Canis lupus familiaris: one gene and its partner. The protein of the gene in region 1 interacts with the protein of each later gene in a biochemical or structural test. Links are inferred from orthologs where the notes say so. Each region holds a gene or a part of one and is shown on either strand. Other genes may lie near its edges.

The links. The genes of interacting proteins can lie anywhere in the genome.
Region 2: the proteins of PIN1 (region 1) and PKM form a complex in vitro, tested with the Homo sapiens proteins (2 studies listed by BioGRID, with this or other methods). The link is inferred for Canis lupus familiaris from reciprocal best matches to the Homo sapiens genes PIN1 and PKM.

The regions. Positions count from the first base shown.
Region 1 is NC_049241.1:51,553,108-51,556,673, reverse strand, and holds part of PIN1 (peptidyl-prolyl cis-trans isomerase NIMA-interacting 1), read left to right. Parts: intron 1-239; exon of another isoform or gene 240-375; intron 376-1,077; exon of another isoform or gene 1,078-2,110; intron 2,111-2,396; exon of another isoform or gene 2,397-2,664; intron 2,665-3,118; coding exon 3,119-3,229; intron 3,230-3,566. UniProt on the Homo sapiens protein: Peptidyl-prolyl cis/trans isomerase (PPIase) that binds to and isomerizes specific phosphorylated Ser/Thr-Pro (pSer/Thr-Pro) motifs.
Region 2 is NC_049251.1:36,154,047-36,157,612, reverse strand, and holds part of PKM (pyruvate kinase PKM), read left to right. Parts: exon of another isoform or gene 1-342; coding exon 343-509; exon of another isoform or gene 510-907; coding exon of another isoform or gene 908-1,074; exon of another isoform or gene 1,075-1,619; intron 1,620-1,721; exon of another isoform or gene 1,722-2,757; coding exon 2,758-2,939; exon of another isoform or gene 2,940-3,566. UniProt on the Homo sapiens protein: Catalyzes the final rate-limiting step of glycolysis by mediating the transfer of a phosphoryl group from phosphoenolpyruvate (PEP) to ADP, generating ATP.

The DNA.
Region 1 (3,566 bases):
ACAGAGCTCGGGATGGGTAGAGCTGAGATCTGAATACAACAGTGGGGGAGTCTAGAGTTTACCCGCCTTGGCCTCAGAGACGCATGGAGCAGGCCAGCCTGTGACCTCCCAGCAGCGACAGATGCACTTCTGTCATGCAGCCAGTTTCAAAGGCCCCCCAACTCCCCAAATCAGGTAAAAGTTCCCTGCTTCAGATGGGGAGCTCCTTGAGAGGCTGCCCCCCAGGATCTGCCTCTCACCTGGAGCGCCCGTTGGATGGAGTGCCGTCTCGGTGAGGGGTGTTGAGGCAGGCTGGCTAGGTCAGGGCATCGCCAGGAGGGTGGCAGGGGGTGTTTGGTATGTGCTTCCTTTTCCTCCCCCCTTGAGCATTTGGATCTAAGGCACAGAGGAAAGAGACATGAGATTCCAGCATTTCTGTCTAAGGAGCGGAGGGGTGGATCCCTCTCCCTCCTTCTCTGTGGCCTGTTTCTGTCTCATTTATTCATGAATTCCTTCAGCATTAGGGAGCACCTGTTCTGTGCACAGGGCCAGGTGCTGGGAACACAGCAGCGAGCAAGGCCCACTGGCCCTGCCCTCCCAGTCTGAGGCAGGTGACACACAGATGGGACACTGGCAAATGTAGGGGGGCACCTCCCACAGCGGGGTCTTAGGAAAGACTCCTGGATGAGGCCAGAGGACAACAAATGAGCTTCCTATGGGAAGAGACCATTAAGCAAAGGCCTCGAGGTGGCAGGGGCAGGGCAGACTGGGAGGGCTGTCACGGGGGCTGGGTTAATACTGAGCCCAGGGGATGCACAGGGGCCTGAGGGTTCCCTTGCATCTTGGCTTGTGGCCAGACTCCTGACGGGCAGCTTCTAGAAAGAGGAGATGAGAAAGCAGTGATTTTTTTTTGTTTGTTTTTAAGTCACTTGAGGCTCCTGTCCAAGCAGAACATTTCCTGAGAGTTGGCTGATCAGAGGAAGATTTGGGTGCTATGAACTATGGCGGGCAGAAACTTGGCTTTTATTTGATTTTTGGGCTGATATCTGTGTGTACCATGGCCAGGCCATCTAGTCTCAGGGATCCCTGCTGACTCACAGCATCGGCTCCTGGAGGATGCGGCAAGGTGGTGCTGTACTGGGCTCGGCTCTGCAGGTGCGGGGCCTGTGCCCGGAGCCGGGCAGGTTACAGCAGGGAGCACTGTATGCACAGGATTCTCTGGCCAGCGAATCGAGGTCCAGACAAGGGAAAGGAGGAAGAATCTTGAGGCTGCCCAGGTGAGGCGAAGAGATAGCCCGGAGTCCAGGGAGTAGAGAAGTCTCGGTGATGTCCAGTTCAGGCTGGATCACTAATGGGTGCAGCTAGCACTGGGGGGCCACCTAGCAGCCCCAGCGGGCATGGTCAGCCCCAGCATGGGCATTGCAGGCAGAAGCCACCCCTGCCCATGGAGGGTGGGGCTCATGTCGCACTGGCAAGCTTTTCTGACCAGGCAGCCTGTCCCATGACAAGATGCACAGGCAGGATAGCCCAGGGATGGGCAAGTCACACAGAAACGGGGGGAGTCTTATCACTGAGACGCGTGGCCCTTATGGATGGGAGAATTGTGACAGCACCTAACATTTGTCAGAGTCTCCATGGCAGGCACACTGTGCTGTCACTGTGGTCTGCTGGCAGATGACTAATGGGCCAGCAGCAGAGGGATGGTTGGGACATGGGGATGACAGGGTGAGGGGGACAGCAGTGGAAGGCCCCCAGTGGACCAGATACCAGGACCCAGGCGCTGCCATGGTGTGGGACAGGATGGGGTGATAGATGTGTTGTCACAGTTGTGTTGTTTCAGTTGTGGTCATAGCGGAGTTTGCACGAGCTCAGCAGGCAGATGGCCCCGGCTGGGTGTCTGGGCCTCAGTTCGCCAGGTGGCTTAATCAGCAGCGTCCCTGTGGTGCTCAGACAGGAGCAGTGGAGGGTGGTGTGCAGAAGCCCACTAGCAGGGATAACAGGGTGATCCTCACACCCGGGGTGGGCTGGGTGGGTGTGCAGAATGTCCCCAGGAGAGTAGCTGTCAGGGAGGCCATGTGGGACCAGGGTGGTCTGGAGCTGCATGTCCTGGGAGTCCACCCCGTGGCTGCGCCTGTGGGTGCAGGGACAAGACTGGCAGGAATGTTCCTTCAAGCGCTGGGGCAGCTGGTTGGAGCAGGATGGGGCATTTTGAGGAGGAGAGGGTGGGCTCTGGCTCTAGGGGCTCCTGCCTGGAACCTGGACTCAGGAGCAACAGGAGGCTCTTCCTCACCACGCAAACACAGCCTTCCTATGTGCCCTGCTCCCCACATGTGAGTCATATAGGTGCTCAGTGCAGCCTCAGCCTTCCCCCACCCCCCGCCCCCAGGAGATGAGTCCCCAGCGGAAGCAGTTTGTACCACACACAGGATGCATCCAGTGTGATGCCACCACAGCCTTTTAGGGCAGCTGCAAGAACGGTGTCGGCTGCTATGAGGCCATGTCCATGGAAATGACACATGTCCCGTCTCGGCTGCCTTGTGGTCTCTTCACGACGCCCCACTTAGCAGCCTGGGCCTTCCTCCCAGTTCCAATAGGTTGGACAGTTGAGGCCCAGGGGATCCGCCAACAGCTCCTGTGGCAGAGCTGGCCTGGTGCCCCAGCCTCCTGCCTTTCTCCTGGAAACTTCTAGAAAATTTCCCCATCAGTGCCTTGTGGGATCTTGGCAGGGCCCTGGGTCCCAGCATCCCTCTTCAGTATTTGCCCTGCTTTTTGCCCTCCTCCCCAACAGGGCCTAGAGGTAGAGATTTTCCCCAAAATATGTGTTGGGGTGTGGGAAAAGGTCATGTTGTGTTCATGTTATGTCTGTAGGGGGCGGGAGGTAGGAGTGGCAAAGGGAGCTGGGGTGGGGGAACGGGCTCTGAGACCAGTGTGGCTATTGAGGCCACCACAGGGTCAGGGGGCGCACACTTGGTGGCGGGGGGGTGGGGGGTGTTCATGAATGTGTGTGGAGCGAGTGGTCACCCTTGCAAATAGGGCAGGGGTTGCGTGCCTCCTTTCCGAGGGAAGTGCCCCCTCCATCAGGAGCCCCCCGCTCCATCCCACCCTGCCTTTGATGAGAGGTCTCCCTGTATGTCCACAGGCTACATCCAGAAGATCAAGTCAGGAGAGGAAGACTTTGAATCTCTGGCCTCACAGTTCAGCGACTGCAGTTCGGCCAAGGCCAGGGGAGACCTGGGTGCCTTCAGCAGAGGTGCGCAAGGAGTGGGCACTACCTGGCCCTAGAGGAGCCTCTGTCCCAGCCGCGGGGATCCCCCTGCCAGGGGGAGGTTGGGAGGGGTAGCCCCGGCTGTGCAGGTCTTCAGGGTCCACCAGGTGGCAGCACAGTCCCGCAGGCTCCAGAGGGACTCCCACTGCTGGGGGGTTGGCTGGGCTGCAGAGCCCTCTGCCTGGCTTCCTTTCCCCCCTGCGGTGGGAAGTCCGTCTGTGGGTCCCTCGATGCAGTTGTCCCCATCATGGACACGGCAGGGTAGGTACTTGGCTGCCGTGTGCCTCTCCTCTGGTTGGGGGGTGTAAGGCTGGGTCCCCAA
Region 2 (3,566 bases), on another chromosome or scaffold:
GGGCATGTTCCTATGCCAAGGCGCCGGTGCCTGCCGCCATCTTGTCTCCCTCTACCCCCCCACCCCCAATCAGAAAATCCTTCCAGAATGGAAAACCCCATTTTTCCTCTTTTGGAGAGGAAACAGCAGCAGTTGATGCTGGAAATTCTCCAGCCATCCCTGAGCAGTTGGGCTTTCATCATGCTGCCTCTTCGCATCTGCATGAAGGACAGATTTAGCCAATTAACCTAAGGTTACCTTCCTCTGATTAATTCCCCATTCTGTCTTTCCATGTGTTGTCTCTCGTTTTTCTCCCTCCTCCTTCCCTCTTCTTGCTTCTCCTCCCCCCTCCAAACCTTACAGATAGCTCGTGAGGCTGAGGCAGCCATGTTCCACCGCAAGCTGTTTGAAGAACTTGTGCGAGGCTCAAGCCACTCCACAGACCTCATGGAAGCCATGGCCATGGGCAGCGTGGAGGCTTCTTATAAGTGTTTAGCAGCAGCTTTGATAGTTCTGACGGAGTCTGGCAGGTAGGGCCCCAAGGGCAGGTAACTCCGTAGGATAACCAGCCTCTTGCTCCAGCTGATCTAGAAGACGGCTGGGGCGCAGCCCTGCAGCTGGGGCCCGGCTCCAGTCCTCTCCTCGTCTGCAGGAAGCCAGCCAGGGAGTCAGGGCAGGGCAGGACCGCAAGGGCCTCCGGCTCGGTAGGCACAGTGGCTGCCACAGGCACCTGGTGATGGGCCAGTTCCCATGAACCTTGGTCTTGCGCGGGTCCGCGGCTCCAGTTGTCCGCCGCCTCTTGGCCTCCTGTCCGGGGACACGTCCCTCACCAGCTGTCTGTGAGCCTCTTCCCCTCCGTCTCCCGTGCGACACCGCTCTGACAGTCCTGTCCCCCTCCTGTCCCTCTGGACGGATGTTGCTCCCCTAGATTGCCCGTGAGGCAGAGGCCGCCATCTACCACTTGCAATTATTTGAGGAACTCCGCCGCCTGGCGCCCATTACCAGCGACCCCACAGAAGCCGCCGCCGTGGGCGCCGTGGAGGCCTCCTTCAAGTGTTGCAGCGGGGCCATAATCGTGCTCACCAAGTCTGGCAGGTAGGAGGTGGCAGCGGCTCCCAGGGCACGCCCTGCTCGGGGCACCTTCCCTGGGCGTCCCGAGAGCCGTGCGTTGATCGGGGCTCAGATGGCCCTGAGCCCAGGTAAGCCCCTCTGCCTGCCACCTGGGCCTGAGGACCCGAGGTTAGACTAGAGACTTCGTTGCCGAACGACAGACTGCACATGCTCACTTGAGTATGTGAAAGTTCATCTTTTAAGAAAGTAATTGATGACCAGTTTTGTTCATTCCAGCCACTACATGCCCTTTAAAAGTTCAGTTTGGGAGATTAGTGCTGTTCACTGACGTGCTGTTGGGTTGGTGCACCTGTCTCTGTCTGTCTTTGAGCCCCAAAGGCAAGCAGATTCAGGCCTAGGAAAGGTCACCACGTCATCTTGCTGGCACCCTAGTGTCGGGCCGCCGAGCTGAGGCTGCTGATTGGCCTTGGCTTGGGATCTCCTCCTCATCTGGACATGGAGTCAGCCTCTGTCATTGCCCCAGTCTGGGAGTGTGCTCCTCATCCCTGCCTGCAGGGCCACAGGAATTCCTGGAAGGGGAAGGGATGGGGTCAGGCTGGTGGTCCCCGAGCATGGAGGTGCGGCAGGTGGGGTTGCGTGTAGAACCGGGACATGAGATCTGTGCAGATTACCTCAGCAGAGGGCTCCGGATAAACAGCTCCAACCATCAGGGTTGACCTTTGTGGAAAGGTCCAGCCTTTGCTCTTTGGCTATTTTTAGCTCCAGTCTTCTGGGATTTCACTCTAACCAGTCCCGACTTCAGCACTTGCTTCCCTCTGAAGCCTTGTATGGGGGCCAGGCCTTTAGCAGGGCAGCCTCTGCTGTGACATGGCTTAAGTTTCCCTGACACCTGTCGGTGTCCTTAGGGCTTGCCTTCCGACGCCCAGTGCCTCCTGCAAGCAAGCCCCTCCCCAGCTCCTGAGACCGGTCTACAGCCACAAGTGTACAATGTTCAAGGAAGCATGTGGCACTGGGGCCCAGAGGGGCCCTCTACCCTCCAGGGGACTCTGCACAGACAGAGCCTCCCACATTAACCTTCCCATCTCCTGGTCTAGCCTCCTGGGTAATACCCAGGTTTGGCTCTAGAGCTGGGTTGCTAGGACTGTTTTAGGGACTTGGGGGCCATGTAGGCTGGGGGAGAGGGCACAGCAGTAGAGGGCTGGCTTTGTAGGTTCCCTGGGGGGCTGGTGAGCTCTGCTGCTGTTCTTTGCAGATGCCAAGAGTCAGGTGCTATTCACATGCTGCTTGGCTTGTAGCTGCTGCTGGCAGCAGGAGGAATGGGTGCTGGTGAGGTTGGGCAGGGCTGTATCTGTGCCAGGATGGGAAAGTTCAGAGGAGGGGCTTCTGCCAACTGAGTCGTGTGGGGTGAGTGGGTGAGACTGACCGCGCCGGGTCGGTGTGATCCTGGGGCCCTGGGCTGTGGGGAGGGGGGTAAAAAGCCAAGTGGACAGATAGCATAGGAAGAAGAGTCGGATTCTGTTCCTCGGAAGGTGGAGGACGAGGGGCAGCCCTGGCACGGGGAGCAGATGCTAAAGTGGCCAGAGTCTGATGCTGGCAGAATGAGTTGGATTAGAGGCTGAGTTGTTGCTGAAGGCCCTGTGGGGGGCTCTGGGAGGCTCTGGAACACTGTTTAATGGTCTCTTCTGCTTGGCCGTCATCCTGTCGCAGGTCCGCTCACCAGGTGGCTAGATACCGCCCCCGCGCCCCCATCATCGCTGTGACCCGGAACCACCAGACTGCTCGCCAGGCCCACCTGTACCGCGGCATCTTCCCTGTGGTGTGTAAGGACCCAGTGCAGGAGGCCTGGGCTGAGGACGTGGACCTCCGGGTGAACTTGGCCATGAATGTTGGTGCGTGGCTGGGAGCAAGGGCTAGCACCTGCCTGGAGGGGTGGGGACGGTGCTTGGGCACTGATCTCCCTGGGATCCTAGAGAAAGGGGAACATGCTGACCTTGGAGTGTGCAAGAGTCCTAGCTGTCTTCCCAGGGAACGTTCTCTGACTCCTCCTTCCCATTCCCTGAAGTTCTGGGCTAAGCCCAGGAGGGAGGAGGAGCCTTGGAGTTCTGGGGCTGAGCTGCCCACTTCTCTGTCTTCCCATCCGGGGCCCAAAGCAAAGGATCCTGGATAGTCAGGAATGTCCCTTCTTGGGCATCTGCTCCTTGTTGAGGGTTAAGAAAAGATTAGAGCGTTACATCATGGGGTGTCCTACACACAGATCACGTACTCATGGCCTTTGTCCCTAATAAAAGTAGGATGTCCGTGCATGAGAGGGACTACTCCACCCTCTAGAGTATAAAATGATGTCCAAAGGTCCCCGGCAGCTGCCATTTCAATTGATGAGGAAGAGTCGGGGCCTCCCTGGTCCCTGGGCTGGGCGGCTTGCGCCACCTTGTGGTGGGAGGCAGTAAGGGTCACCCAGTCTGGCTACCTCGGCGGGCGGGTCAGACAGGTGCTCTCCTGCCTGGCTTGCTTTTTCT